Canis lupus familiaris: one gene and its partners. The protein of the gene in region 5 interacts with the protein of the main gene of each other region in a biochemical or structural test. Links are inferred from orthologs where the notes say so. Each region holds a gene or a part of one and is shown on either strand. Other genes may lie near its edges.

Evidence for each region.
Region 1: the proteins of ERBIN (region 5) and ACVR2A interact in a test that uses a peptide from one of them, tested with the Homo sapiens proteins (2 studies listed by BioGRID and IntAct). The link is inferred for Canis lupus familiaris from reciprocal best matches to the Homo sapiens genes ERBIN and ACVR2A.
Region 2: the proteins of ERBIN (region 5) and ABCA1 interact in a test that uses a peptide from one of them, tested with the Homo sapiens proteins (2 studies listed by BioGRID and IntAct). The link is inferred for Canis lupus familiaris from reciprocal best matches to the Homo sapiens genes ERBIN and ABCA1.
Region 3: the proteins of ERBIN (region 5) and SCN4A interact in a test that uses a peptide from one of them, tested with the Homo sapiens proteins (2 studies listed by BioGRID and IntAct). The link is inferred for Canis lupus familiaris from reciprocal best matches to the Homo sapiens genes ERBIN and SCN4A.
Region 4: the proteins of ERBIN (region 5) and ARVCF interact in a test that uses a peptide from one of them, tested with the Homo sapiens proteins (3 studies listed by BioGRID and IntAct, with this or other methods). The link is inferred for Canis lupus familiaris from reciprocal best matches to the Homo sapiens genes ERBIN and ARVCF.
Region 6: the proteins of ERBIN (region 5) and KCNA4 interact in a test that uses a peptide from one of them, tested with the Homo sapiens proteins (3 studies listed by BioGRID and IntAct, with this or other methods). The link is inferred for Canis lupus familiaris from reciprocal best matches to the Homo sapiens genes ERBIN and KCNA4.
Region 7: the proteins of ERBIN (region 5) and PKP4 form a complex in vitro, tested with the Homo sapiens proteins (4 studies listed by BioGRID and IntAct, with this or other methods). The link is inferred for Canis lupus familiaris from reciprocal best matches to the Homo sapiens genes ERBIN and PKP4.

What each region holds. Positions count from the first base shown.
Region 1 is NC_049240.1:51,343,737-51,347,422, forward strand, and holds part of ACVR2A (activin receptor type-2A), read left to right. Parts: intron 1-1,807; coding exon 1,808-1,917; intron 1,918-2,118; coding exon 2,119-2,273; intron 2,274-3,686. UniProt on the Homo sapiens protein: On ligand binding, forms a receptor complex consisting of two type II and two type I transmembrane serine/threonine kinases.
Region 2 is NC_049232.1:61,170,514-61,174,199, forward strand, and holds part of ABCA1 (phospholipid-transporting ATPase ABCA1), read right to left. Parts: intron 3,065-3,686; coding exon 2,859-3,064; intron 2,259-2,858; coding exon 2,082-2,258; intron 154-2,081; coding exon 1-153. UniProt on the Homo sapiens protein: Catalyzes the translocation of specific phospholipids from the cytoplasmic to the extracellular/lumenal leaflet of membrane coupled to the hydrolysis of ATP.
Region 3 is NC_049230.1:15,031,363-15,035,803, reverse strand, and holds the start of SCN4A (sodium channel protein type 4 subunit alpha), read right to left. Parts: upstream 2,843-4,441; 5' UTR 2,747-2,842; intron 2,183-2,746; exon of another isoform or gene 1,945-2,182; intron 1-1,944. UniProt on the Homo sapiens protein: Pore-forming subunit of Nav1.4, a voltage-gated sodium (Nav) channel that directly mediates the depolarizing phase of action potentials in excitable membranes.
Region 4 is NC_049247.1:29,511,207-29,514,892, reverse strand, and holds part of ARVCF (armadillo repeat protein deleted in velo-cardio-facial syndrome), read right to left. Parts: intron 3,554-3,686; coding exon 3,054-3,553; intron 2,451-3,053; coding exon 2,267-2,450; intron 1,445-2,266; coding exon 1,327-1,444; intron 916-1,326; coding exon 744-915; intron 87-743; coding exon 69-86; intron 1-68. UniProt on the Homo sapiens protein: Contributes to the regulation of alternative splicing of pre-mRNAs.
Region 5 is NC_049223.1:50,959,556-50,963,980, forward strand, and holds the end of ERBIN (erbin), read left to right. Parts: intron 1-239; coding exon 240-332; intron 333-803; coding exon 804-878; intron 879-1,667; coding exon 1,668-1,775; 3' UTR 1,776-3,747; downstream 3,748-4,425. UniProt on the Homo sapiens protein: Acts as an adapter for the receptor ERBB2, in epithelia. By binding the unphosphorylated 'Tyr-1248' of receptor ERBB2, it may contribute to stabilize this unphosphorylated state.
Region 6 is NC_049242.1:51,057,357-51,061,735, forward strand, and holds the start of KCNA4 (potassium voltage-gated channel subfamily A member 4), read right to left. Parts: upstream 2,933-4,379; 5' UTR 1,947-2,932; coding exon 1-1,946. UniProt on the Homo sapiens protein: Voltage-gated potassium channel that mediates transmembrane potassium transport in excitable membranes. Forms tetrameric potassium-selective channels through which potassium ions pass in accordance with their electrochemical gradient.
Region 7 is NC_049257.1:4,568,238-4,572,576, reverse strand, and holds the start of PKP4 (plakophilin-4), read right to left. Parts: upstream 2,806-4,339; 5' UTR 2,678-2,805; intron 1,819-2,677; exon of another isoform or gene 1,709-1,818; intron 1-1,708. UniProt on the Homo sapiens protein: Plays a role as a regulator of Rho activity during cytokinesis. May play a role in junctional plaques.

The DNA of each region.
Region 1 (3,686 bases), on a different chromosome or scaffold from region 5:
TGGATAAAGAAAATGTGGTGTGTACACACACACAAACACATACACACATAGAGGATGTTATGCTAAGTGAAATTAATTAATTGTATAGAGAAAGGTGCAAATACAATATGATCTCACCTAATGTGTAGTGTATATTGTATGTTTAAAAGTTGATAAGACAGTAGATTTTTGTTCTGTCTTTTTTTGTTTGTTTTGTTTTTTTTTTTTAGAGAGAGGAGGTTGGGGAGGGGCAGTGAGAGAGACAGGAGTTCGATTTCATGACCCTGAGATTTCAGCTGAAATTCGGAGTCATATGCCTAACTGAGCCACCCATGTGGTTTGATGAGAGAGTAGATCTTGAAAGTTCTCACCACAAGAAAAAGAATTTTTAACTATGTGTGATGTTGGACATTATATTATTGTGGTGATCATTTCACTATATGTACAAATATGAAAGCCATTTATGTTGTATACTGGAAACTAATGTAGTGCTATGTCAGTTTTATCTCCAGAAAAGTGGGGAAAATATTTTTTCCAAATTATCTTTTATTAATTAGTTGAAACCAGAGATCCTTGTTCTTTTTGTAGTAAAAACTACTGTTCGTCTCACCTGATAGTTAAGAGAAGGAAAAAGAAAAGATTCAAGAAATATCAAAGTATGGAGAAAAGACAATGATACAAAGAATGAAATTGGATAGGGAAAAGTACTTTTTTGAGTTAATTTGGCTAAGTAATCATTTTCCCCTCCTATAATTTGAGGCATGATTCTAAATGTTAAGATTTTAAACATATATTTTTTATAACTTAAGATTTAGCTTTCAGTTGTCTTTTATTTTCTATTAAATAGAATTGGTGTAGATTTAATTTTAATGTTTGATTTTGTTAAAACAGCCTTCTCCCTGAAATTTCTTAAGCTTTCCATTTTAAATTCAACCTTATTATTCTAACAGCCATCACAAAAGTTTGCAGTTTGTAGGATATGTCTTTAAATTTACCTGATGTTTATTAGCATATTTAAAGGTTTGTTGTTGTTGTTGTTATCTGTTTGTTTTCAAACAGGTATGGCTATTTATTGGCTGATTAGGGTTTGTTCTAGTGGCTGAATCCCTATCTCCTCAGCTCCCCAGTCAACCTCATATCAGTTTTTGAGTTATTAGGTTCTATATCTTGTTACATTTTGTTTTCTACTTGTTGGTTATCTTACCCTTGCTCATTGTGTTTAGGGAATTTAAATCTACTCCAAAAAATGATACTGTTAATTCCCAAACCTAGCTTGGGTCTGTGATGTTGAGATAGGTCCTGCCATGAAAGGAACTTAGGTCCTTGTGTGTGTGTGTGTATATTTATATATAAACATATACGTATATATGGGTATCGGTGTGTACACATACACATAGTTTTATTTATAGTGTTCAGCTTTTTAATTCATGCAATGGGAAAGCTATATGTCCTGTAAGAGAAAGCACTTGTAAGCCAAATTTCTTCGTTGGCTCTATGTTCCTTTTTACACTTTTCTAATAATTAAAGAAACATAGTTGCCTTAGATTGATGATTTAAAACCAGATTAAGGTCATAGCAGTGGCCTCAAGAAGCTAGTGTCATTGCTGTAAAAGCAGCTGGTTTTTGTTTTTAAGTGAGATTTAGTAGAAGGATTACTGGAATGTTTTTTGGCTTTTAAGAATTGATCATTGGATATTAATAAAAATCTTTTAAGTTGACCATGAATGACTTTTCCATTATTTTATCTCTGAGAAGAATTTTAGAAAAATACCCATTGTGGATTCAGTTTAATGCTGATTTTAATGATTTCTCCTCTGTTTGTTTATAGGACTGATTGTATAGAAAAAAAAGACAGCCCTGAAGTGTATTTTTGTTGCTGTGAGGGCAATATGTGTAACGAAAGGTTTTCTTATTTTCCGGAGATGGAAGTCACACAGCGTAAGTTCACAGGGAAAATACATAGATCTGTTCAACTAGTACACTGAAAGCAAAACATATTTTGTGTTGATGGAATAATTTACTCCTACCTTCTCCTACTCTTGTTTTTCTCCTAAAATTTGATGCTATAAATCAATAAATACTTATTGTGGAATTTTGTAGACCAAAGCTGAATTGTTTTTTTCCTTCCATTTTCCACAGCTACTTCGAACCCAGTTACACCTAAGCCACCCTATTACAACATATTGCTTTATTCCTTGGTGCCACTTATGTTGATTGCGGGGATTGTTATTTGTGCATTTTGGGTGTATAGGCATCATAAGATGGCCTACCCTCCTGTACTTGTTCCAACTCAAGTAAGTTGTCTTGTACCTTGTGCTGTTTTAAGTTGTATATTTTACAGAACTATTACTGTGGTGAAACCCACTGGGTTGCTATAAGTCATTTTCTTTTGGTGTTACTTTTTGAATGCTTATTGTTATGGCAACTATAGCTAATTTTCCAAACTTAGTAATTTGCTGTGTCCTAAACTTTTCTCACTTTGGAGCTGAGGTAAGGTAGAACAAAGGGTATTCTGTTCTTTGGACAGTTTCACTGTCATTGTAATACTTTCAAGTGTGAGATTTACCCAGCTTTGTTTCTTGAGAAGTAATTGATGGATAAGTGATATCATAACCTGTCCTTTCTCTTCTTTCTTCCATTCCTTAATTCTTTTGCCTTTTTCAAGACTACTTGCCAAAATATCCTTTTAACCATAGGGAGAGTTTTAGTAAGGTGATCCAGAAAGTGTGGAAAAGGAGGTTTCACAAAGGCATCAGGAAGCTATATACGAAAAAATGTTTCTGGGAAGAGGAGCAGATGAGCAATGCTTTTCATCATTTATTAGTAATAGTTCAAGTGTTTTTTGTTGTTATTGTTTTTGCAGCATATCAAGTGTGTACTGAAAACTAAAAAGCTTTTTTTTTAATACTAAAAATTTTTTCAATGCCCTCGATGCTCCCTCTCCTGACCCCAAATCTACCTTAAACTATAGATATGGTGGGTAATCAGATTAAATTCATGAAATTTTCCTCTTTCTCTATCACATAGACAGTTGGTACTGGTACAATGGTTTACAAGTTCTTTTAATATAAGTAGCTAATATTCTGCAAACTCAGGAAGGGTGAAAACTGTAGTTATACTTGTTTGCGACATCTTCAAACTCTAGTTTTAACTGTGTTTCTTTCAACTCTTAAGATCAGATTACCTTGGCCTTTTGGATCTGTGGTTTAACTGTTACTCTAATACTAGGATTAATGGTTAAAACGTGGTAGAAGAATGGTAAAGTCCTATAATTTAATGACCAAAACAACTTCTTCTCTGTAAGCTTTATTTACATAACATACTACTTTCTCAGTACTTGGCAGCAATCTGTTAGCATTAGGTTATTGATCCACATAATCTTTGTAAGATGTATACATGGAGAAATAAACCCAAAGGTAAAATACCTTATTCAGTAAATTAGGTAAACACTGTTTTGTGCAGCTGAAATATTTTAACTTTTAAACCTTAGTTACCAACTTGTGGATTTATTAAAAATTATCTCTGAAAGTATTTTAAAATAAAAATTTTCGCTGCCTAATAAACAGATGTAGCTTACTCCAGATGGCCATAGGATCCACTTTATCTGCCTTTGGTGGTAACTATTTTTTGATTTCTATTTTTAGAAGAAAGAGTATTTAGTACTTAGTGTCTGAATTTACCCTAGATTTGTGATATAATAGAAGAAA
Region 2 (3,686 bases), on a different chromosome or scaffold from region 5:
CAGAGGATACCGCTGTCCAGACCCATGATGCGCATGGTCTCCTTCAGCCGTGCCTCCTTCTCGTACACGATGCCCTTGATGATCACGGCCACGGAGTAGATCCAGGCCAGCGTCATGAACAGAGGCATGGACCGGCTCATCACCCGCAGGAAGCTGGAGGCCCCAGAGAAGGGTGGGGGAGAATGAGAGGGAGTGAGAATCAGGCTCAGAGGCCAGTGCCCCCCTGGACCCACATGCCAGCAGAAGCCCCAAGACTAAGACTGAGTGAACAAGGGGCAGGCTCTCCAAGCTCCAAAACATACAGGTCATCACATGCTTCATGAGGAGCACAACGTGGTGGTGACCGTTGTTAGACCTACCAGGTGCTGCCAAGCACCATTACTCTGGGACTTGCTTAAATCACTAGGTAACTACGTAACTTTTAAAGCACTAAAACAAAGAAACAAAAAAAACAACCCCTTCTCTCTCAAGAGTTCAACACCTTCAAGGGTCATCTCACTACTGACTTGCCCAACTTTTATCACAGATAATACAAAAAAAAGACTCCAGACAGCTCTTGTAATAATTCAGATTCCAAACCAAAATAGGAAATGGAGCACCGTGAAGTAAAAGGGACACAGAATTTGGACCCTGGAATGCCAGGCCCAAGTCTCAGCTTTACTACTTATGCACTTCCCAGCAATGTGACAACAGGCAAAGTCCCTTAATGCCACTAAGCTCCCATCCTGTCCTGCTCTTAAGACACCCTTTCTAGAGTAAATCTGGGCTGAGTGGGTAGTGGGGGGGTGGGGGGGAGGCGGGTTTCTTTTGGAAAAGTCTGACTAATTTTTCTGAAGGTAAAAAACAAGATAATTCCAAGGGTGACTTGGAAGAGCTAGAGTGAGCCACACAAGGAAACGGTTGCTCAGTGCAAAGCAGAGGGCAAATGTTTAGAAGAGGAGCTCTGCTCCTTCTGTACTCTGATCTCTACACATATATATCACAACAGAGAATAAGAGAATTTCCAGAATTTGGAAGAGACGTTACATATCTCAGATGCTTGTAATAACTACACCTTGGCCCATGCTCTCCTACAAGAAATCTTTAGAGGGGGTGCTGAGGTGGCTCAGTGGGTTCAGCGTCCAACTCTTGGTTTTGGCTCAGGTCATGATCTCGGGGTCATGAGAAGGGGCCCCCACACCCGTGTAGAGCCTGCTTAAGATTCTCTCTCTCCCTCTGACCCTTCCTCAAACCCCTGCCCTGCTCCTCTCTCTCTTTTTTTCTCTCTCTCTAAAAAACTAAAAAGAAATCATTAGATCCAAAGGCACAGTTCCCACAAGATCTTGGCAGCTTAGTAACTAAGCACAGAAAGATTATCTAAAGTCTAAGATAAAAAGGCCTTGTTCAGTTTTATTTGGATTGCTTCAAAATGTGGTTTACCACTTATAAAGAGTAAGCGGATGAACTGACATGGAGTCAGCTTTTATAGGTCTAGATCAATGTTTCTGTGTTTGAGGGATCTATGTATGTGTGTATGTGCTTGCAGGTGTTTGTCACGCCACATGTTGAATTTGCAGATTGAGGGCACCTGGGTGGCTCAGCGGTTGAGTGTGTCTGCCTTTGGCTCAGGTCCTCATCCCAGGTCCTGGGATCGAGTCCCACATCGGGCTCCCCACAGGGAGCCTACTTCTCCCTCTGCCTGTGTCTCTGCCTCTCTCTGTGTGTCTCTCATGGACAAATAAATAAAATCTTAAAAAAAAAAAATTGCAGATTGAGCAAAACTTTGACCAAAAGGGTAGGGTATGTAAACAATATAACTGCTGGTAACCACAGATGAAAAAAGAGGGAGGATTACCAGGATGTGCACATGTGTGTCAGTGATGTGGCTGGAACTACCTACATATGGCATCTTATTTTCTAAAGTTATTCACTGAATTTCAGAAAAGACTTTTTTTTTTTTGTGACAACACATATGAAATCATTAAAATCAAAGCATCCTACCTCCTTTGGGTATATGCACATGCATATGTGTGTGTGTAGGTACTCTCTCTAAGGACAGTGTTAACCTGTTACGTGAAGATGGTGGCTTGGTGGTAACTTACATGTCATCGACGTAACAGGGGTAGGGCATCTGTTGCACATAGACGCCAGTTTTCCTCTCGGTGCCCGTCAGCACCCTGATGATCGCCTGCTCCACCACATCTTGCAAGTAGGCAAAGCCCCCCCAGACGTACCGCATATCCTCAAAGGGGTCAGCCCGAGGACCCGGGTCCCAGTACCTAAAATCACATCACAGGTGATCAAATATTCCTTAGAACCGTACATTTAAAAGAGCCAATCACTCACAATCCACCATCGTTACCGAGTCACTGTTCTCATCTAACATATTTGTGTCTTACTTTCTGCTCTCAGTCCTGTGCATATATTAAAACTGATACAATCAGAGTGAGCATACCACCACCAGAAGGTTGGTTTAGTTTTAAACTCTTCCTTGGCTACCTAACGTTGCAGCAAGTGGACATGCCAAAATCTGTTTAATCATTCCCTTTTACGTTGGTTGCTCACTCCTTTTTATAAAAAATAGGATAATGCTAGCACAGGAATCCTAAAGCCATTTCTTCTTTTTTTCCTGTTGATTTAATGCTGTGGGATTAATTCTCTTGAGCGAAAATGCTGAATCAAAAGATGATTATTTTAGGACCTTTGAAAAAACTGTCTCTGGCAACGGGATGTACCACTTTCACCAAAATCATGCCACCAATTGGAGTTATTTTTTGGTGACATTTCTACCAAATTAGTACTTAAAACAAAGTGCCTCTAGTCATATTAGCTGCTCTTGACTTCCCCCAAACTGGCTGGTGTGGTGGGCTTGAACTCACCCATCCTTGATTTTATTTGTCCTCTCCACATTGTCAATGTCCATTCGGATCTTGTACTTGACGTGACGGGGCAGCTCAATACTGCCCGGAGTGATTCCGGTGAACACGATACCAGCCCAGAACTTCCTCTCATCCAGCAACTCCATAGACTTGTTGATAAGCCGGACTTCTGTTGCTACTGGTTCCAGCTTGTTCAGGTTGACACACTGATGGAAAAACGGCCTTCATGAGAAACTCCAGCCTCCAGGAAAACAAGCAGTGCCCAAGGCAGACTCTGTCCCAAGAGGGACGTGCTAACTGCGTGACATTTTTGTCCTCACTCTCTCCTCCTCTCCAAAGTCATTTTCCAAGATTCGATTGAGAATGGACCCTTTTGTTTTTTAACAGCAATTTAAGAGAAATGCTAGAAGTATTTAGAGATAAGTTATTTATATTGATTTTTGTGGAGGGAAAGAGGTTGAAACAATTGATCAGACCTCATTTTCCTGTTTTTCTGGCAATTTTGAATCATAAAGAACCAAATAAGCATAACAAAAAATAAAGAACAAAACAAAAACAAAAACACACCCAGGCCCTTATCTGTCCCTATTAAGTCACATAATTTTTAAGAAGAGATTTTTAAAATATAATGTATCCTATTAGTTCTTAGAGAAATTTCATAAATAATGCCTTTTTAAGGGCATGCTTTCTTGCCATTAGGTATTGAGCTGTGAAACCTTGGGAAAACCTAGGAGACCGTGGACAGAAACACTTTTGAGTCAGAAAGAATAAAGCTAGAGTTAGGTCTATTTATCCATTCAGTCATTCAACTAACATTTATGAGTGCCT
Region 3 (4,441 bases), on a different chromosome or scaffold from region 5:
TAGAGGGAACCCTGGCTTCCCCCAGCTCCTGGAGCACCTCTTGAAGGAGCCCCTGGGAACCATGACCTGTCTCTGCCACTGCCGAGCTGGGGACCCCTGCAGGAGGCCTGGCACCTGCAGCCAGCCCTAGGGCTGCCTGCTGGAACCCCCACCCCCCCTCCAAGTCTCAGGGACGAGCTCTGCCCCCCATGCAGCCCCGTACCAGCATCAGTGCCCCTCACCAGCTGTGTGCCGCAGGCAAGTGGCAGGACCCTCAGAGCCTGAGCCCTCCCTTAAGGGGAGTCGAGGAACGGAAGGCTTGTAGAACCTGCACCCTGCTTGTTGACGTCCACCCTCCTTCGTCCCCTCCTCTCCCTACCTGCTCTTTGGGAACTCGGTCTCAGATTTTTCATCTCCCTTCAATGCATCTCTGTCCTATCACCTGGAGAGAGAGAGCGAGCCTTTCCACTTCTCTCTGCAAGGTCCACTCCCTTGTCTCCTCTCTGGCTGCGCCTGGCCCTGGAGACTTCTCTCAACTCCATCCCCAGCTGGACTACCCCCGCCCCATCCTTGTCACTCTCTATACTTTTCTCTGTTCTGGTGGCCAGAGTTGCCTCTGGAGGCAGGGACCCTGTCAGGACCACTGCCCATCGTCTGGCAGGAGTTTTGTGCTTTCAGTATTGAACTCAGGGCTTCCCATGACCTGGCCTGGGGGTGGGACCCAGAAGGCCTGGTGAGGGAAAACAGTAGGCACGCCTTGGCACTCAGGCCAGCCTAGAGCTGGGAAGGTGATTCCAAGTCCTGAGCCCCACCTCAGGCAGGTTCCCAACCAGAAATGACAAGCAGAACCAGGCTAGGACAGGGTCACCTAGGAAGGACCCTTAATTATCTTCCCAAAACCTGACTAAAAAAATAAAAATCCCAGGGATCCCTGGGTGGCGCAGCGGTTTGGCGCCTGCCTTTGGCCCAGGGCGCGATCCTGGAGACCCGGGATCGAATCCCACGTCGGGCTCCCGGTGCATGGAGCCTGCTTCTCCCTCTGCCTGTGTCTCTGTGCCTCTCTCTCTCTCTGTGACTATCATAAATAAATAAAAATTAAAAAAAATAAATAAATAAAAAAATAAAAATAAAAATCCCAGCCAGTCCCCTGAGAGTTGCCTGGGATGGAGACGGGAGAGGGCCTTTTGGGTTATGTCTGGGACCCTGCTTCGCCCACACAGGTCATGTGGCTCCAAATACTAGTGTGGTAACCACAACTGTCCACAACACTACCACATAGAAGGAGGCCACTAGCTGTGGGCAGGGGACTGGGGATGACCCTAGAAGAATCTGGAGGGTCCTGGGAGGACCAGTCTTCCACCTGTGTCCCCATCCCGCTGCCACCCCTGGGGGCTCCTTATCTCCGCTTAGGGCTCTGGGGGGCAGTCACAGCCTTTGTCATAGACCAAGGACAACAATGCCCACCATTGGCTCTTCCCTGCCTCTCTGTCAACCCCTTCCCCTCTCCAGAATAGCCAGACCGGCGCCAAACTGGTCTCCAGCTAGTCTCCTCAAGATGGCTCATCATAGAGGCTAACCTCAAAGGCCTTCAAGGCTTGTTTGGGCTCTGACCTTCCCAGGCTCCGGGGTGATTTGTTTCCACGCAGGGCCCCGCTGCAGGTGGTATGGGTGGGAGGGGGACATGTTTAGGATCCCCCTGGAGGGCCCCCTCCCCACCCTGGGGCATTGGGAGCCCTCATGGTGCCCAGGCCCTGTGCCCGAGCAGGGGGAGGGGCCGCCAGACATAGTCCTTAACCGTGTGGAGCGGGAAGGCGCTCAGGCCCGCTGTGCCATCCAGTGCCTCCTTGGAAAGCCTCAAAGCCCCCATCCCACCCTCAGGGCCCTCTACATGGGGATCCCCAATCTTTGAACAAATGCCCCCCTCTGGGAAGCAACACCACACTCCTCCCAAACCCCTCGTCCTACCTCTGCTCAGGCCTCTCGGCTTCTTCCACTAGCGGCTGCCCGCCCCCGCCGCCCGGTGGTGGTGGTGTTGGGGTGCCTGGCTCTCCCGGCGCTCTGCCCCGGGCCCCACTCCTGGCCCTGAGGCTCCTCCTGAATCCCCCCGAAGCCCCCTCAGTGCGGCGGCCCCATCTTCTTCCCCTCGGGCCAGGCTTTCTGCCTTCCCCACTTGCCCAGGAAAGGAGCCCAGCCTCGCCCCAGGCCTGCGGGAGCGGCAGGGGCGGTGGGCAGAGCCTGGGCGGTGCGGCCTGAGATGTGTCCTCCGCTGGCATCTGGAAGATTCCTGTTTCAGCAGAGCAAAGGAGCCGCCACCACCCCCCGCCCGGCCTCCCGCCGCTCTCCTCCCCCCACAGCCCTGCCTTCGGAGCCACCGTGAACAGCCTGAGCTGCCCGTGGGGACAGGCTGGGGACAGGCGTTTGGCTCCTGTGCTCTCCTCCCCTGAAGAAACTCAGCCCCGTCCGTCCCCGGGGTCACCGTGCCCGCCTGGAGCCGAGCGCAGCCGCCGCCGAGGGAGGGGGCCCGACCGGCCGAGGGCGGAGAGCGGCCCACCGAGGGCGGCCCAGGCCAGGCTCGGACCGCAGGGTCGGGGCGCGGGGAGCCGGGCGCGGGCCGTGGCAGAGCAGGGCCCGGGGCAGGCCGGGAGGACGACGGCACCCGGAGCCAAGCGGTGGCCTCCCTGAAGCCAGGCTGGGCCCGGGGCCAGGGCGCCCTGCTCCTCGGGGTGGCCTGCCCTCGGGGTGCGGCCGGGCGGGGTGCGGTACTCACTGCCGGCGGGAGCCGAGGGCTTGCGGCCGAGCCTGGAGCGCCGTCGCCCACCTCGGGCTGGGGCTGGGACTCCGGGGGACTTGGCCGGGGGGCGGGCGGCGGGGACAGCTGCTGCTGATGTCACAGGGTCATGAGTGAAACCTGAGGACCGGGCCAATCTTCAGGTGGGAGCCTGGGCCGCGCTGCCCGGCCGGGTGCGCCTGGGCTCAGCCGGGGACCGCCGGGGCTGGGGGCCCCTGGCACCCGCTGGCCCGCCTGCACGCGCACGCACACGCGCGCACACGCACACACGCGGGGGCACATGGACGAGCCCATCCCACCAGGTCCTCTCGCACCCTTGGGGAGCTCACACGGGCTCGTTCTACACGCCAGTCCCCTTTCACACTCATTCCCCAGAGCCCCCCGGGGCACACGCCAGCTCGCACACTCACACTCACACTCACACTTGCTCCGGTACACACTCATGGATGTGTCTCCCCACAAATGCCACACTCACACGTTCTCAGCTATACACATAAACCACCCTTCGTATGTTCACACAGACCTTCCAAGGTGCGTCACACCCGTTCCCACGCATGCTTATTGCTCACGCAAGCACGCTCCCACACTCACATCGGGCTCGTGCGGATACTTGTATTATTATACATGTATAGTCATATCTATTCTCCTGCCCAAGTGAACACAAATGCCACGTATCCCGGACGCTAGATTTCATCGCATGTATGCCTGCGTGTACACACACCCATACCCACGGTCATGCTCACACATTCACGCATGTCCATTCATGTTACTTATGTCCATACCATTGTCTGAGTCTCTGACCACGCCCCTGTTCACACGTACACAGGGCCACCTGTGTGTACCTGTGATCACTAGATTCTCATTAAGTGTGTGCCTATCTGTATACACACACACATAAACACACACCACCTACACACCCACACAACCATCAGCGGGACAGCACAGAAGTCTCAAACCTAATTTTTCTACCACCAGTCCCCTCGCCACCATCCCACTGGCTAGACATCTGTCTCTCTGAGCTCCGGGAAAGGAGGGTGGGTGGAGGGCCCCGAAGAGGTTGGTTTAGCCCTCTGCGCCCCCCCACCCGCGGCCAGTCTGGGGCTGCGATGACCCCTGGTGGAGCTGTTGTGAAATGACCCACCTCCCAGCTGGCCCACTATGCTTTCCCCAGGCAGACAAGAGAACCCTCCCACTGAATCCGGAGTCTCTGCTCCCCAAAGCTCCCTACATTTCCCTCCCCAGTCTCCCATGTCCATCCCTGACACTGTCTTTTACTGGTAAGCCAGAGCTCCAGCTGAGCTGAGCCCAGGACAGAGTGGCCTTTGTTAAGGGACAGCGGGAGGCCTGGAGAGTGGTCACCCTCAGTCCTGCAGGTGGGATGGCATCTCTGCTCCCAGTGACTCTCTGTGGAGACAGCCTCAGTCTTGTCGAGCCCTTCCTTGGGGGCCAGGCCTGGCTGTGGTTTGAGAAGTTCCTGCTACCTGCACTGCCCACATCTCACTCCAGGTGACTCACATCACACCCTCAGAGGTGTGTCTTCCTAACCTACAGGTGTGAGCATTGGCATTCTCTGTGCCTGGTTCTTGTCCTGCTTTGCTCATTGACCTTTCTGACACACAATTTCCATGTAGTTTTATTGATGATGTGATCCAGGTGTCCGCGTGCCCCAGACTC
Region 4 (3,686 bases), on a different chromosome or scaffold from region 5:
GTGAGCGGCACCTCCCTGGTGCCCAGCGCACCCACCAGGCCTGGACAGCAGGACAAACAGGGACTCACCTTGATGGAACCACTCCTCTGGGCGGCCGGAGGAAGCACAGGAGAGAGGAGACGAGCCTGAGTGGGCAGCGCCCTCCCATGCCCTCCCAGGAGGCCTCGACTTCCCACTGCACACCCCAAGTTGAATAGACGGGTCGTGGAATCCCACCCAGATTACTCTGGAGGGCTGAGTGCCCAGAAGTGGAACAAAAAAAGTGGAGGCCTGGGGTCAGAACAGGTCCACATGGGGGGCAGGGGAGGAGGGCAGGTGCCAGGGAATGTAGATCCTGGAACCTGTACCCAGCAAATGCCGGTTGGGATGGTGTGAAGGCAGGGTGGGCATCTCAAGGTCTTCAGGTGCTCTGTGAACGCCAGGAGGCGGCATCATCTTCAGCACTTTCCACACATGGGCCCAAAGAACCCCTCCCAGAGCTGAGTCCAGGCAGCAGCAGGAACACCACATAGATTCACTCCTGCCCTCCCCTGGGGGGCCCACAGTGCAGATGAGGGAAGGCTGGCCGGTCAGCCGGATGACCCAGGGGCTCAGTACACCCTCCTCGGCAACCTGCTTTCCCACCTGCCCATCAGGAGCTGACCAGGTGGTCTCTAGCTTCTGTGATGGCCATGGGTATGGGGGCCCTTCATCCTGGAGTGGCAGGCGGAGTCCTAGAGTGGTACCCCGTCCCTCCCACACACCTTTGGCCTTCTTGCCACCGAAACAGCCAGCGTCATCCCTCCTCCGGCGCTGGGAGCCTGCAGCACTGCCTGGAGGCCCAGGCTCAGCCTCTTGGTACCTGTCAGCCCCAGGCACCTCCTTGTGTACGTGGTAGGACAGGTTCCGCATGATACACACGCAATTCTCTACCGACTGTGGGGAGAGGAGAGTTGATGGAGCAGGGTCTGGTGGGCAGAGAGGCTGCTAGCCCTCCTGGGGAAGCCCAGCCACAGCCAGTGTACACGGGAGGAACTGGGGGTGTAGAGATGGGGACCCACGTGGCTGAGGACTCCCAGGGAGGGCTGAGGAAGGAAAAAGGTGGGAGAGCCTACTGCATGTAGGACCTCGTCTGGGAGGTCACGGGTGTCCGCTCCAGTGTGGCCACTGTGGGGTGGCCCACACCCAGGGTGCTGCCCCAGACCCCCACACCTATTCCTCCTGTGTTGCCCAAAGGGGTCAGGCCCCCTGGGCCCAGTTCTTGCTCCGTCTCTCGAACCTTTGTAGGAGGTTGTGAGACTGATCCTGCTGGGGCCTGCTAGGCTCTCCCCATCCTGCTCCACTCACCTTGTTGTCCGTGTCCTTCCTGCCCACAGCTGACTGCAGGGCGTGCAGCAGGGCATCCACCAGCCCTTCACATTCCCGGAGCCGCCGCCGGGCCTCTGCGCCATCTGAACTCACGTTCCTGGGTGGCCAAGAGCGAGCCCTGTGACCCCTGGCTCCCATGGGAACTTCCCAGCCAAGCACTCCCCACTCCCAGCCTTGGGGTCTTGTCTTCATCTGTAAAATAGGGTCTGATGCCACCCTGTCAGGGCTATTGAGTGTCCTGACCACTGAGACCCTAGGGTAGAGCCCTAGTCTGCCATGTGTGTGGGGCAGGGGGCCTTCTATGATCCCAGCAGAACTGAAAGGGGACAGAACGGGGTCCAGAGTCCTGAATCCATGCACAGATAATTCTGGGCTCCCCCTACCCCAGTGGCAGTTCTGGGTTCCACCTTACCCCGTGAAGACCCCATAAAGCCATGGGGGTACATTCTGATGAACAGGCAGGACCCTGGAGACCCAGGACCACCTGTGAGGACTCTGTAGGGATACCCAGGGTGGGAGGGTTAGGGCAGAGGTCTGAGGATGTGAAATGAGGCCTCTGAGGCAGACAGGATGAGGGTCCTAGCTCCCCCTATCCTGGCTGCCGTGGTGATGGGAGCATGGGTCAAAGGTGAGTGGGGCTGGAGACAAAGGGTACTACATGAGACGGTGGCAGACCTTGTCCAGAGGCTTCCCTTGGGGCTGAGTATAATAGCCCCATCCAGTCCCATTCTCAGGACTCAGGCAGGAACTGTAGTGTGGATGTGAAGCTCCTAAAACTTGGGGGGCTAACTGTCTTCCATGTTACTGAGGATATTCCCAGGTACGCACACAGGCTCTAGTGCTTGGCTCCTGCCTCCTTGACCAAGAATAGCCCTGGGCGGCTGCACAGAGAGTGCCCGAACCCGGCCCCCACCCACACCTCAAGCAACCCGATGTGTTCTTGAAGACTGTTGTCCACTCGGCATCCCTTGGCTTGGAATCCTCATTGGGCTCACGCTCCCAGCCCGAGTGGGGCACAATGACCTCATGAGTCAGCGTCTGCAGGCCGTGGTCAATGATGACCATCTTCAGGGGCTCGTAGGATGACAGGTTCCAGAGTGTGCCTGCGGGGCGCCATCAACCAGCCAGTGCTGACCACACAAAGCACTGACCTCCCTACCTCCCCACGTGACCTCGCTCAGGACGTGCCCCAGGTCAGACCAGAAGATAGTGACAAAAGCCGTGAGAGGACCTGGGTGCCCACCCTGGCCCAGGCAAGATGTGCAAAGGCACCTAACAGTACTACCAGCCGGGAGGAAGCACCAGAGGGGCTGGGACACAGAGCAAGGGCTGGTGGGGAGCCTGTGGCTAGACAAGCAGGTGCCTTCTCTTCCCCTATCCCCTCTGAGCCACATGGGTGAATGGCACTACCCCTCCACTGGCTCCACCTGAAGGTGGTCATATTACCCTACCTGGCCAACTGGGTCCCCTAAGGCACAATTCCCCCAGCACAGCTCCCCCTGGAGGGTGGGACCTGGAGGAGTATGGGTACATAGGGGCAGGTGGCAAGGGGGCCTGCCCAAGGGGCAGAGACACTGAGGACCTCTGAGTCTAAGCCATGCCTACCCCCAGCAGCTGGACTCCTGACTGCACGGGTGGGTGGGAGGGGACATCTGTTCCTGGCCAAACCTTGCTCTCCTTCCCCCAAGGGATGACGGTGCACTCACCTGTGACGAGCTCTCGGACCTCGTTGTCCCGGGCTGCCCGCAGCAGGCGCACCAGAGCCGGCACGCCGCCACAGTCCCGGATGGCAGCCTTGTTGTCCGTGTCTCGGCCGTAGGAGAGGTTTCGCAGGGCCCCGCAGGCCCGCCGTCGCACCTCCGCCCTCGGGTGGTCCAGCAGAGCCACGAGCAGAGGAAGGCCCCGCAGCTGCCGCACGCGCCGCTTGACACCCTCATTCTCGAAGCACAGGTGCTGCAGGTAGGCGGCCGCGTTGGCTTTCACGGGGTCCACGGGGTGCCGCAGCATGGCCAGGACCTCCGGCAGCTCGGGGTCCCGCCACCGCGGCTCCTTACGGGCACTGTCGACGGAGGGCGACCGCCGGACCACTCGGTCCAGGCTGCCCAGGCTGCCCCGTTCTGGCTGGGCCAGGGGTGCGGTCGCAGCAGGAAACGGGGGCCGCTCCTCCATCAGCTCGCCGGCATCATCTGCCACTTCCTCGTAGGCCCTGTGCAGGCGGGCAGGGTGCAGGGACGTCTCAGCAGTGCCACAAGGCATCTGCTCCAGAGCTACTCATCCTATCTTCTCTGGAGGACAAACCCAGGAAAGGTGGGGAGAGGCCCATACCATTGATACTTGAC
Region 5 (4,425 bases):
TATGAATTGGTTGCCTATCCTTGTAAAACAGCAGTAGATTAAGTTAGGAGCTATGCTTTATAATCCCAGCTGTGCCTTTAACTCACTAACTCATTAACATAATATTCCATGTTGTAGTTTCCCTTCATCTACCTGAATATTTATTTTAGATGAATCTTTACATATTTTACCAATAGTTAAATACTGTGTTGTAGCATTTTCTGAGATATTAGTAATAGTTTATTTTCATCTTAACTCAGATTCGAGTGAGAGTTGAAAAGGATCCAGAACTTGGATTCAGCATATCGGGAGGTGTTGGGGGCCGAGGAAATCCATTCAGACCTGAAGATGATGTGAGTTTGTTTGTATGTTCTTGAGACACCCAGGAGATTTTATTCACTAACTTAATGCCCCTTATATGTAAGTAAAAATCCAATAGATACTTATATAAATATAGAATCACCTTTTGTTTTCTGTTGTTCAGCTTTTTTAGAAATGTGATCCACTTCAAATTTAATTGTTTGAGGAAAACAAATTAAACTGCCAATTTTACAAGTCCATCACATTGTGAAGTGATTTTTAAATTTAGTTATTACTTTTCTGCACATCCTAGAAGTAACTTTGTCACTTTAAGAGAAGTCACTATACTCAAGTCAGAATTACCAGCACCAAACATAACAAGGGATTGTAACAATATTCAGAGAAGGCAGGAAGATAACTTGTACAATGATTCAAATATATGCCTACTGTCAAAGAAAAATCATCTCTTCTATTGATGCATACTGTTTTCCATTAAGTGTTTCCCTTTTTTGTTGTTATTAAAGGGTATATTTGTAACAAGGGTACAGCCTGAGGGACCAGCATCCAAATTATTACAACCGGGTGATAAAATTATTCAGGTAACTAATATACATCTTTTTATTATTTTCTTAACTTTACATTTTATAACATCTGCTTCCTCATCAAGGAATTATTAAATGCCATATTTTAAAAATAATCATTTTTTGAAGTTTATCATTAAAAATCTGTGGATGAAAATAGTGGCATTTCTTATAGGCCACTCAGATATTTTCATAGTTTAAGATATTTCTTCCTTGAACCTTGGAAAATCATATGGATCTTTTTAAATACATGTTTGATACATCTTAGCATTTTGTTTAAGTTCAGGAATATTCTTTAAAATAAGATGGTGAAAGAATCTTGTTTGTTATAGGAATTAAAGAATTCATATCAAGCACTTAGAACTGTGTGTTTGATATATAGTAAGACCTCAATAAGTATTAAGCCTAAATTATAAGAAATGTAGTGTTTATCTGATGGTCCAAAGTGATGGGAAGAGTAGGCCTTGCCCTCTGCTGTCCTTGCATCTTGGGGACTCATTTACATGTTAGCACATACACATAACCCAATGTCTGGCTCTGTGTCTTAGCCAGGTGCTTCCTGACATTGGGTTGCCTCATAAGAATCATCTGAAAAGTAGACAAGGTACAGGCTCCCGGGTCCCACCTTCAAAGATTTTATTTTCATAGATGTGAAATAGGGCCCAGGAGTCTGTGTGATGCTGTAGATTGCCAAAATGATTCTTACTTTCAGCCAGGTTTGTGCACCGTCAGCAAAAATAGATGTATAAATGCAAATAAATTACTGTGGAATGTTTTTCCTAAAGACGTTTTTCTTCTTTCTTCTAGGCTAATGGCTACAGTTTTATCAATATTGAACATGGACAAGCAGTGTCCTTGCTAAAAACTTTCCAGAATGCAGTAGAACTCATCATTGTACGAGAGGTTTCCTCATAAGAATTGTGGACAAAGAAAGGGAAGGCAGCAAGATTTATTGGAAGATATTTGCAGGGGAAATTAATATTTTGACTATTTTTATATGTAAAGAAGAACTCAAAAAATTATGTTCAAATTTGTACATTAATGAAATAATGGAACTTGTGGTTAGAGGGAAAGAACCACTGTACAGTATATAGGGGAGACTGTTGAATTCATACCATATAAAAGTTCTTGTTAGGTTTTTAAACATAGCAATCAAGGCCACAAAAACAAACATATGTTGTTTTTGTATAGATTGTAGGTTTATTTTTGGATTTCATACACATGACTGAACTCTGTGCAAGGCTCTAGTTAGCCTTGATTGTAGCCCAGAGACAGATGGCAGAGCTATCTGTCTCATAGCTTTTATGCCCTTATTTTTATTCAACTCGTATTAATGTTTTTCTGCTGAAACTACTTTTTTTTTTTTTAATGTGGGCAAGAGATTTGAAGTGTTGGTTTTTGCTATGTGCATATTGAATTGAAGAGTGAGTAGGTGAAGGTGGTACTGGTGGGTTCACTTTCCAAGGCCAGATTAAAACAGTTAATTCCTATAAAAATCTGGAAGCAAAGACTGAAAAAACAGCTGTGTTAATGTGTTTTTATTAATAAAATAATGCAATAAAAATGTAATGTCTTTTTAAAGAAATAAAAAGAGACAATAATTGCATTTTATGAACTCTACAGGATCTGTTCTTGTCATAGCCATTGACAATACATTTGCTACTGGTGATTCAATTTTTAATTTTTTAGTCACAGGAAATTTTTAACTCTTCTGTAGATGCATGTCCATGCATTTTTTTTCTGATATGGAAATCTCTTGAGTTTTTGCAAATGGTGGTCCTTGCAATCTGTTTTATAATTAGTATTCCATTTTAATCTTAATTTATAATTTTTATTTTAAGCAGCAAATGAAACTAAAATGGCCAGTTTTAAGATTGTGTTGCTGTAACACAAAGTGTAAGCAGATTTAGGAAAGCCTCTTGATTTTGTTTGGTCTCACATTGCCTTGGTAAAGTAAAAGGAAACAGTACGCATGGAGCTAGGAAACCAAAGCAAGTTTGTGAAATTGGCACAGTGATAGAGAATTGCTGTGGAGCGTTGTAGAGCAAAGGGATGGGTCCTTGAGGCCTGCCAGTGTGTAAAGGTGTTCAAATAAAGGGCTGTTCCTACAGGTAACATTAAATGTGAACTCGACACTTCAGAGTCTTTAAAGGGTTTCTAAGTGTATCAGTGTAATAGAATAATGTTTTACCACCAGCTGCCTTTGTTCTTCGTTAGTGTAACAAATATTTCATAGATGTTTATTAATTTGTTTATCCAAACTATTAATTTTGTTTTTGTTCTGTCTGTGTAATTCAATAAAATTTGAGTAACATGCAAAGGTAAGAATTAATGCATGGTTATTTGGACCAGAAAAAAGTGCCACAGAAGACCAATAACTGTTTTTTAGTCGAGGCTAGTCTGGAGCCTTTCATTAGAGCAATATTCAGTTATTGCAATTCATTTTTAATTACTAAGAAATATAATTTTGGAATTTTTAATCTGTTATGCTTTGTTCTTCAACTTTATTTTAATTACGACTTTTATAGGATGAGCAAAAATGGCAGTTTACATTATTTTTGCAAAAAAGTTAGACTCGTTCCTTTCTTGCTAGTCAGAGTAAATAGGCAGTAATTTTGAAAAGATGTGAACTCAAATATTGCACTTCTTTCAAGATGTTATCATTTGGTTATTGTACTGTATAGTTTTAATAATATTGTGATTGAAACCCTTTAACAACTCTTTGTAAATTTTAACTCATTTTAGTTGTTTTTTCAGTACTATTTACATAGGAATTGATTTTTATGGATATAGTAGAAGAAATGTGATGTATTTTGATAAAATTCATTTACTGTATGTGTGTTGTAATCTCTAAAAAAAAATAATGACAAACAGATTCTTAAGACAAGCCTTGGTGTTCCCTTTATTCATAGGTTATTTTTTTTTCCATAGGTTATTTTAAAATATTAATTTTGACACATCACTTTTTGTTAATTTCAGTCAATTTTTCAGTCACATTCTACTTTTAATAAGGAATACATAAAATAGATATAATTGCGACATTTTCAACTGAACTACTTTATCTCAAATCAGATACACAGAGATAATTTTGGAAAAGGAAATGAGACACAGAAAACAACTGATTGAACAGTGATCTAACCTTAAGTTAATTGTCTGCATATTATACTGATACAAGTGCAGCAAGCGTTACATGTACTAGTATTGTATTTTCCTCTAATTAATTTTTTTAAGATTTTTTTTTATTTATTTATGAGAGACAGAGAGAGAGAGAGAGAGAGAGGCAGAGACACAGGCAGAGGGAGAAGCAGGCTCCATGCAGGGAGCCCAACATGGGACTCGATCCTGGGTCTCCAGGATCACGCTCTGGGCTGAAGGTGGCACTTAACCACTGAGCCACCCGGGCTGCCCTTCCACTAATTAATTTTAAAAATTTTTAATGTTCTTATATTATATGTAGTTGAAAAAGAAATTATATAACAGAAAAGTTAATCGCAGGGACGCCTGGGTGACTCAGCAGTTGGGCATCTGCCTTCTGCTCATGGCGCGATCCCGGTGTCTGGAATCG
Region 6 (4,379 bases), on a different chromosome or scaffold from region 5:
CTGTCGTCCCCCTTTCCCTGACACTTCTCCTCCTTCGCGCAGAGGGATTCCTTAACTCCTTCTTCCATCTCCAGATACTCTGACTTGTCCCCCAGGGAGGAAGAAGTAGAGCTCCGAAATTTCTTCAGCAAATTAGAGGGGAGGTACGGGCAACTGACCGCATTCTGTGTCAGCTGCGTCTGCTCCTCATTCTCAGTCTCTCTGTGGTAGAAATAGTTAAAGTTAGAGACAATCACTGGCACTGGCAAAGCGATGGTTAAGACACCTGCGATGGCACACAGGGACCCCACGATCTTGCCCCCCACGGTGATGGGCTTCATGTCCCCGTAGCCCACAGTCGTCATGGTCACCACGGCCCACCAAAACGCATCTGGGATGCTCTGGAAATGGGTGGTGGGCTCATCGGCCTCCGCGAAGTACACGGCGCTGGAGAAGAGGATGACCCCGATGAAGAGGAAGAAGATCAGAAGGCCCAGCTCCCGCATGCTGGCTCGGAGCGTGTGGCCCAGGATCTGCAGGCCCTTGGAGTGCCTGGACAGCTTGAAGATCCGGAACACGCGGACCAGACGGATGATCCTGAGGATGGCAAAGGACATGGCCTGCTGCTGCTGCCCGTTGCCGCCCCCCTGGTGCTGGGCCAGATCGGTGCCCAGCGTGATGAAGTAAGGCAAAATGGAGACAATGTCAATGATGTTCATGATGTTTTTGAAGAAGAGCGCTTGGCTGGGACAAGCGAAGCAGCGAACCACGAACTCGAAGGAGAACCAGACGATACAGACGGTCTCCACGATGAAGAAGGGGTCGTTGAAGATGGTGTGCCCTGAGTTCTCTAGGTGGGGCGCCGAGGAGTCGTTCAGCGACCCGCCGTGTCCGCCCGCGCCCAGTGCCATGATGAGGTCCCTGTCGTCCCGGAACTCGGGCAGGGTTTCCAGGCAGAAGATGACGATGGAGATCAAGATGACCAGGACGGACACGATGGCGATGCCCCTGGCCGGGCTGGAGCTCTCCGGGTACTCGAAGAGGAGCCAGATCTGCTTTTTAAACTCGTTCTCCGGCAGGGCCCGGTCCTCCTCCTCCCGCACAAAGCCCTCGTCCTCCCGGAACTTGAGCAGGGCCTCCTCTCCCAGCTGGTAGAACTTCACCTCCTCCGTGAAGATGTCGAAGGGCACGTTGACCGGCCTCTTGAGGCGGCCGCCCGACTGGTAGTAGTACAGGATGGCGTCGAAGCTCGGCCGGTTCCTGTCGAAGAAATACTCGTTTCGCAGCGGGTCAAAGTACTGCGTCCTCTTCTCGGGGTCGCCCAGCAAGGTGTCGGGAAACTGGGCCAGGGTCTTCATCTGGGTCTCGAAGCGCAGGCCCGACACGTTGATGACCACCCGCTCGCAGCAGCCGCTGGGCCGGCCCGGGCCGTAGGCGCCGTCGTCCCGGGGCAGCAGGTCGCTGCAGGAGCCGTGGGCCGCGCGGTCGTCCTGGCCGCGGCCCAACCGGGCCTCCTCCTCGGCGTCCTCGTCGTCCTCGTCGTCCTCGTCCTCGTCGCTCAGCTCCCTCAGGATCCTCTCCTCCGAGCCGCTGGGCAGCAGGTCCGAGCCGTGCGGGAAGCCGCCGGGCCGCGGCTGAGGCCTCCTCCGGTTGGGCCGCGAGCGCCGGCGCCTCCGGGCCACACGGCCGCCCTGGGGCTCGAGTGCGGGGCAGGTGCCGCGGGGCTGCTGCTGCTGCAGCTGCTGCTGCTGGTGCTGCTGATGCTGCTGGTGCTGCTGGTGCGCGCCGCCCCCGGGGCCCCCAACGCCCTCCGCGGCCGCGGCCGTGGCCGCCGCCACCGCCGCGGCCGCCGCGGCCCTCGACTGGGCCAGCCGCTCCCGCTCCCGGGCCCGGGCCTGCGCCGCGTAGCCGTAGGGCATGTGGCTGTTGCAGCCCGAGCTCTCGGCGCTCACCATCGCGACCTCCATGGCCGCGGGAGGCGGGCGACGGAAAGTGGGGCAGCTCCCCGCCTCACCACACTAAGGTAAGTTTGGAACCGTTCAGCAGATTGCTCGGAAGACTGAGGATATTTTCAGTCCAACTTTGCATTTTCCGTTTTTAAACCAGCACGCCCCATGCTCTCGGTTCCCAGGGACGAGCGCTGCTCTCCAGGCCCGGCCCGTCCGGGTAGCGCGCGCCGGGCCCAAGTCCCCGCCGGGGCCCCCAGCGCCCGGGGCCCAGGCGCAGTCTGGAAGCGCGGCCCCAACTGGCCACCGCCGCCGCCCGGGATTCAAAGGCCGCGGCTATCTGACGGCCAGCACTTGTGCCTGGAAAACGGAATGGATTTTTCTGCCATGGAAATCGTCCAAAGCTCGGTCCATCAGATTTAAATAAAATGCAAATAAGCCTTTAGTCTTAGCACTTGCCTTCTCGTGACGGCTTGACCCGAGCGGGCGAGCGGCTGGAAGCGCGTCGGGCCATCGCCGCCCAGAGCCCGCGGCCGCTCCCTGGGTTCAGCACAGGCCTCCGGGGCGCGGGGCCCGGGCCGAGCTCGCGACACAGGCGAACAGCTTGGGAGGTAGAGAAGGTACGAGGCGAGGTGTCAGCGGGGGCCAACCCGGCTCGGAGGTCTCCATGGAAAGCCAGGGAGCGCAGAGCATCCTTCAGCTGCGGCGGCGCAGAAGCAGCACTCCACCTGAAAAAGGAAGGGAACAAGCATGGGAGCAGAGTAAAAAGCATCGACGCGTAAAGAGCCGACGGCGCCTCCTTCCCAGACCCCGCTCTTCTGGGCCTCAAGCAAGCAAGGCACCCGAAGCCCCGAGGGACCACCGCAGCCGGTTACGTCTCCTCCTCACCCAACCACCCTCCTGCCCTCTTCTTTGGTTCTGATTCCCGCTCGGGCTATTTTCATGGCAACTCAATTATTTCTCCTCTCTCCACTCCACCCACGTGGCCGTCCCTTTCGCTCATGCCAGGTCTTAACTCTCGCGGTCACTCTCTTCCTTCCACGACAACGACGCGGTCACCTTACAACTGCTTCCATCATTCATTGATCTCAAGGCATAGGTTTTCTTTTTTTTTTTTTTTTTTCTGAATTTCCACTCATCAAATACTTCTGAATTTAGTGCCTCTCCACCCCTCTCTGTCTTGATTCAGGATCAGGGCCGCTGGAGGAACCGGCCTGCTTTCACCCAGGCTCCACGGCTTCCACAAGCCTCAGTCTCCTCACCTACGAAGTGCAGGGCACATGGAACCTCCCCCGTCTCTTGGTGAGGACCGACGGAGACGGTGAACGCTGCCAGCAGAGCACAGACATCATGCACGTCCATCATGCTGCCGGCTCTGAACAGGGCGACAGTGACCTCGGCCTCTGCTGTCTGGTACTCACCCCAAACCCCTATGTCCATGCACCACAGTCTCAGTTAGGGGGAGGACAGAAGTGAGGACACGGGGGCCTTCGGAGACTCCCCAGCGGCCTGTCTTAGGTTGGCACTTCCTGCCGCCCTGAAGCATGTCCCTGTTGTTGTTTTTCTGTTCCCCAGACTCCAGAACACTCCCTACCACCCACAGCCTAGGAGCTAATCCCAGTTTCTACTTCTCTGATAATCATCTTTTTTTTTTTTTTTTTTTTTCCTCCTCGCGGTTCCTCCATGTTCACCTCAATGCTTCCTCCTACATCTTCTCAGGGGACTATCTCCTTATGTTTAAAATCCCAGTTTGTGCGGATTTTATCCTCCACCCATCAGACATTCCCCTCATAATTTCATCCATCATCTCCCGTCTCCCGGACCCACCCCGGCCGGCTCCCTTGCCTCTCTCTGCCCACTTCTGTTTCCGATCTGCCACTTGCTGATCGCATCTTCCTCGCAGCCCCGATCTGGCTCCTCTGTCACCTGGAATTCCTGGCCTCTCTTCTAGGTCGGCTCCCTCCAGGTCCAGCTAATTCACGTCCTCAGCAGGACCTGGAAAGACTGCCCTGGTCTTCTGTCTCCTATGCTTTTGCATTCAGTGGGTCCGACAGGACTCCCGAGAACGCAGGGTGGCCCCGAGAGCTGGGGAGGATCACGACAGTCAGAATTCAGGGCATCCACCAGTTTCTATTACTGGAAGCACTTGGGGAGCACAGGAGAAATGGCTTTCTGGAGCCATTAGCAGGATTCAGCGCTTGACCACCTGCTGCTCCAGGCTGAATCCTGTCGGCCTCGGAGCCTAAACCCACCCGAGTTTTACGAAGTGACAGAGCAGGGGAGCGGTAAGCACAGGGCTCCCCAGTCACAGCCTCCTAGGGCAAGAGGCGAGCTGCGTTCAGACACAGGATCCAGAAAGTACACCTCGGAAGCTGTCTCCGAGGACAAGCCCCTTCCGTTGCCGACTCCTAACAGCGGCACGTTCCCTGAGATGTTTACTCCCGGGGGGGAAGG
Region 7 (4,339 bases), on a different chromosome or scaffold from region 5:
GAGGGAATAGACTTTGGCCAAAACACAGTTATTGATTGTGAATGATCACTATTTTTGAAACTTCCCTTCAAATATCTATAACAACTAAAATATATTTCTAACTAAAAGCCTACCTTTACTTGAAGCAAGTAAAACTATTTGTACAGCCAATCATGTATATACATAACCTATACACTTAGACCAGTTGTTTCAATTTCTAATGTAGCAGAGAAACTGAAAGTGCTTTTACTTTCTAATCTTCACATCAAATCAAATAAGCAGGTGCTCTACTCTGTTGTAATATGATATTGTTACATAACAAGTTTCCTGTTGGCATCTATAAACACGTCCCAATATCCAATACAGTGTTACTAATTTAGAGTTAAGCCTCTAAATTAAAAGATCCACAGATTAAGGACATACCTAAAAAACAATGTAGCAGGCAAAAGACGCAACGTTTCCAGGTGCAAAGTTTTGGGTTTTATTTCCCCCCTTCTATCTTTCCTTTCTGTTGAGTCCTAACTAAAAGGTTCTCATCTTATACTATTCAATGCATTTGCTCCACACAAAGTAGGTATTGGAAGACAGCTAGACAATCAACTTATTATTTTCCTGAATCTGATACAAAATAACCAAGTGTGGAGAGGCTTATAGTAAACTCAACCTCCAGAGCAAACTGTGTCAAAGAAAGGCACACATAGTATGCTTTTCAACATCCAGAAATGTTATTTTGGACCTCAGTTGTTCTCATTTTCATGTTACCATTTCCATAACTGTTTCACAGGCACAAGAAGATACTTCTATAGCAATATACTGCATTCAAGAAGAGAAGCTGTCTTCTACTTCCCCTTTTAAAATAAAATAATCTAAGTCCAATTCTAGAAAAGCACTGTCAAAAATCTGCTTTTCTGCATTAAAGAAAATAAAATTCGACCAAAAAATATATATGCATCATTATGATTTTTATACATGACTACAATTCTTTAAAAGTTGGAGGGTTCTATTTATGTTTTTCAGTCAAACTCGGTAACAAAAAGAACGACGACCTCAACTAATAAATTACATCTTGAAATATACATGATTGTGTTGTCCCCGTGTTACTTCCAGTGGTAACTGACACGCCCCGAATTTAGCTGTACCAGACAGTTCTATCTGTCCCATCGCTGACCAAACACTGCTTCTCTGTTTCTATTCATCATGTATTATAAGAGGTCTAAACACAACCCAGCATGACGAGAAAAAAATTACAATTCTTATGATAGCAAAGTGATGCATTCGAGTTCTCTTGCAACACATGCCTACCCATGAGCATTAACAGACATTTTTGCTAGAGCTAAAATGCGTTGGCTGCAAGCTCACTACTCCAAGAACCTTGGGCACCTTTCCTGCAGGCTTTCAAAAAACCCTCGTAAAAACCAGGCTCTATTCAAACCTTGCAAACCAAACTTGCCAAGAACCTTGTGCAATGATGAATAACCTTGGCTACACCACCCTCCGCCTCAAAACCCCGGTCCTGGAGACCAATGCAGCAAAACCCAGGCTAGAGGCTAGCGGAAGCCCGACACAGCCGCCGCGCTTCCCCTCCGCCGCCGTCTGCCGCAGGGAGCGAGGAGCGAGGCGCGGGGAGCCGGGAGCGGGGGAGCGAGGCGCGGGGAGCCGGGAGCCGGGAGCCGGGAGCGGGGGAGCGAGGCGCGGGGAGCCGGGCGCGGGGGAGCGCAGCTTCGCTCACCAGCTCCGAGGATGCTCCGGCGACCTCGGGCTGCGCGGCGGGAGCCGGGCCGGGAAGGCGCTAGTGCAGCGGCGGCGGGCCGCCCGGACTATGCCCCTGGTGCATTCCTCGCATTCCTGCACAATCTGTCGCCAGCCGACGAGCCCGCTGCGCGCCCCCCCTTCCCCCGGACACACACACCTGCCTATCGCTGCGCCCCGGGCGGCCGCGGCGCCTCCCCTGCCCGCGCCCGCCGCTGTCGCACTCAGCCGCGCCGATCCCGGCCCCGCCGCTCCAGCCCTCGCTTCCCGGCCGGGGGCGGGGGGGGGACCCCGGAGCCGCCCGGGCTGGGGGTGCCGCAGCTCCGCTTCAACTCCTGGCAGGCGCAGGGCGGCACCGGGGAAGCCCCGGGCTGGGGGCCGCGACGGGTGGAGCGGGGGCTGCGCCGCCGAGGGCGCGGGGCGCGCCGGCCAGGGCGGCGGGCAGCCCGGCGGGAGCGCGGGGCTCGGGGGCAACCGGGGCAGGCAACCGGGGCAGGCAACCCGGGCGTGGGAGGCAGGAGAGCGGCCGGAGGGCCCGACGCGCCGCCCCGAGCGCTGGGGGGCGCGGGCCCGGCGCGGGCAGCCGTCCGGGGGGCTCCGGCGCGGCGTCCGGCGCGGGGCGGGGGGCTCCGGGGAGAGCAATGCGGGGGAAACTTGTGCGCCGCCGGGGGGAGGGGCGCCGGCAGGCGAGTGCGGGCAGGAGCACGCGGCGGGGCGGGGAAGCCGGGCGGCCGCGGGGCGCTGGGACGCAGCGAGCGGCAGGAGGGAGGGAGGCGCCGACCCCCGCGCCCCGCACGGCCGGCGCGGGCTCGGGCTCGGGCTTGGGCTCGGGCGCGGGCGCCGGGGTCTGGGGCCGGGGTCTGGGTCTGGGTCTGGGTCTGGGGCCCGGAGCGGCGCGCCGCCCCCCCCCACACACCCCCGAGCCCGCCCCCCGGACCCGCACACTTACTTTCCCGGTTAGGCTGCGCCCGCCGTCGCTCGCGGGCCCGGGGACATCCGCGCAGAGGGGTCGCCGCTGCGGCACCCGAGGAAATTAGAAAAGTGCCGCGGCCCAGCGGCGGCCCGCCCCCCCTCCCCCGCCCGCCCCCGCCCCCGGAGCGGCTCTCCCACCACCCCCGCGGCGGCGGCGGCCCGCGGGCCCCTCTAGCCGGTGCCCATGGCGCCGCCTGCGCGGCCGGCGTCGACCCGGACTCAGCGCCGGAGCCCCCTCTGCTGCCCAGAGGCCGCCGCCGCCGCCCGCCCGGCCGCCAGCGCGCGCGCCCAGCCCGCCCCGGGCTCCCGGGAACGTCAGCACGCCGCCGTCCCCGCCCCGCCCCCCCGCGCAGCCCATTGGCCGGGCGCGGCAGGCCGGCCCTCCCCATTGGCCCGGCCCTCACGTTGAACGGGCCAATGAGAGCCGCGGTTTCAGGTCGCCATAGAGACCGATGCTGTTAAGAGCGAGAGGGCCCGAAGCAGGCGGGGAGGGAGGCTGAAGGTGCCTGGGGTTTGGGGGCGGGCGGGGGCGCAGGGAGGAGGTGCGTGGGTTCCCGGGAGCAGGCTCGGGAACCCGAGGCAGCTGGGGCTTCGGCTTCCTGTCAAGCCCAGCTGTGCACGTAGGGTTCGTTCCTCGCCTCACCTCCAAGGCGGCGACCGCTGAGCCTTTGTAGGAACCCTGGAGAGCCTAGGAGTGGGCATTTCGCTCGTCTTGCCTCCGGGAGCCCCCGAGACTTTGACCTTTGACCTTTGACCTGTGTGCAGCTTCGGCTACTCCAGGTGAGTTTGCACCCTACCCATTAACTCGCTGCTTCTTCCTGACGTCACTGACCCACCTGAATTCTACTTGGTCTGCATCCAAGCACCCCTCTGTCCCTGAGGCAGACCTTGCCTCAAAATGTTGGGTCTAAAAACTTAAAGCCCCACCTGAAGGAGACTCAAACAAGATTTCCTTTGAATGATATTTTGGCAAGGAAGCAGGCTGACAGTGAGTCGTCACGTAAGATAGCGTGTTCCCCGCTTCTCCAAGCAAACCTCTAATCTCTCCATGGAAGGATATTTATTAAAGACCCACCTGTGTGTACATTCTGCTCCGGGAGCCTGGCAGGTGCACGCTCTTTCCCCTAAGAGTCTACAGGGTGGGGAAAGACAGGTGACAAAGTCAGTTCTCCATGCCTTTTGATGATCTCAGAGAGCGGAGGGAATAGATTACAGTTGATAGATGCTGTTTTCTGGGTATTTTCCAGTTTACCTCGAATTTGTTAAGTGAACTGAGACGTGCAATCAGTACACAGAAAGATCTTGAGCTTTAATCACAAGTTCTTTGCTTTCATTTAGTCACTTTGTGCTAGTTTGTCAAAACAGTTGTTTCATGTAAACAACTTTCATATTTAGATACTGGCTATTCAGGTGACTCGACGTGAAAATATTAGGCTTTAAGCATGATACTGCTCTGTCATGTAGCCACTGACATTCTTAAGTTCCTTATTTTGGTGATTTTGGCATGTCAGTAAGACATAAGAAGACCATGTTTGTGCTACCACCCCTCAAGTAGAGGGACCATATTTTGTGAAAAAGCTGATAGGATTTTGGAAATTATAAATATTTATTGTGAGAAACAAATGAATGTGTGTGCAAG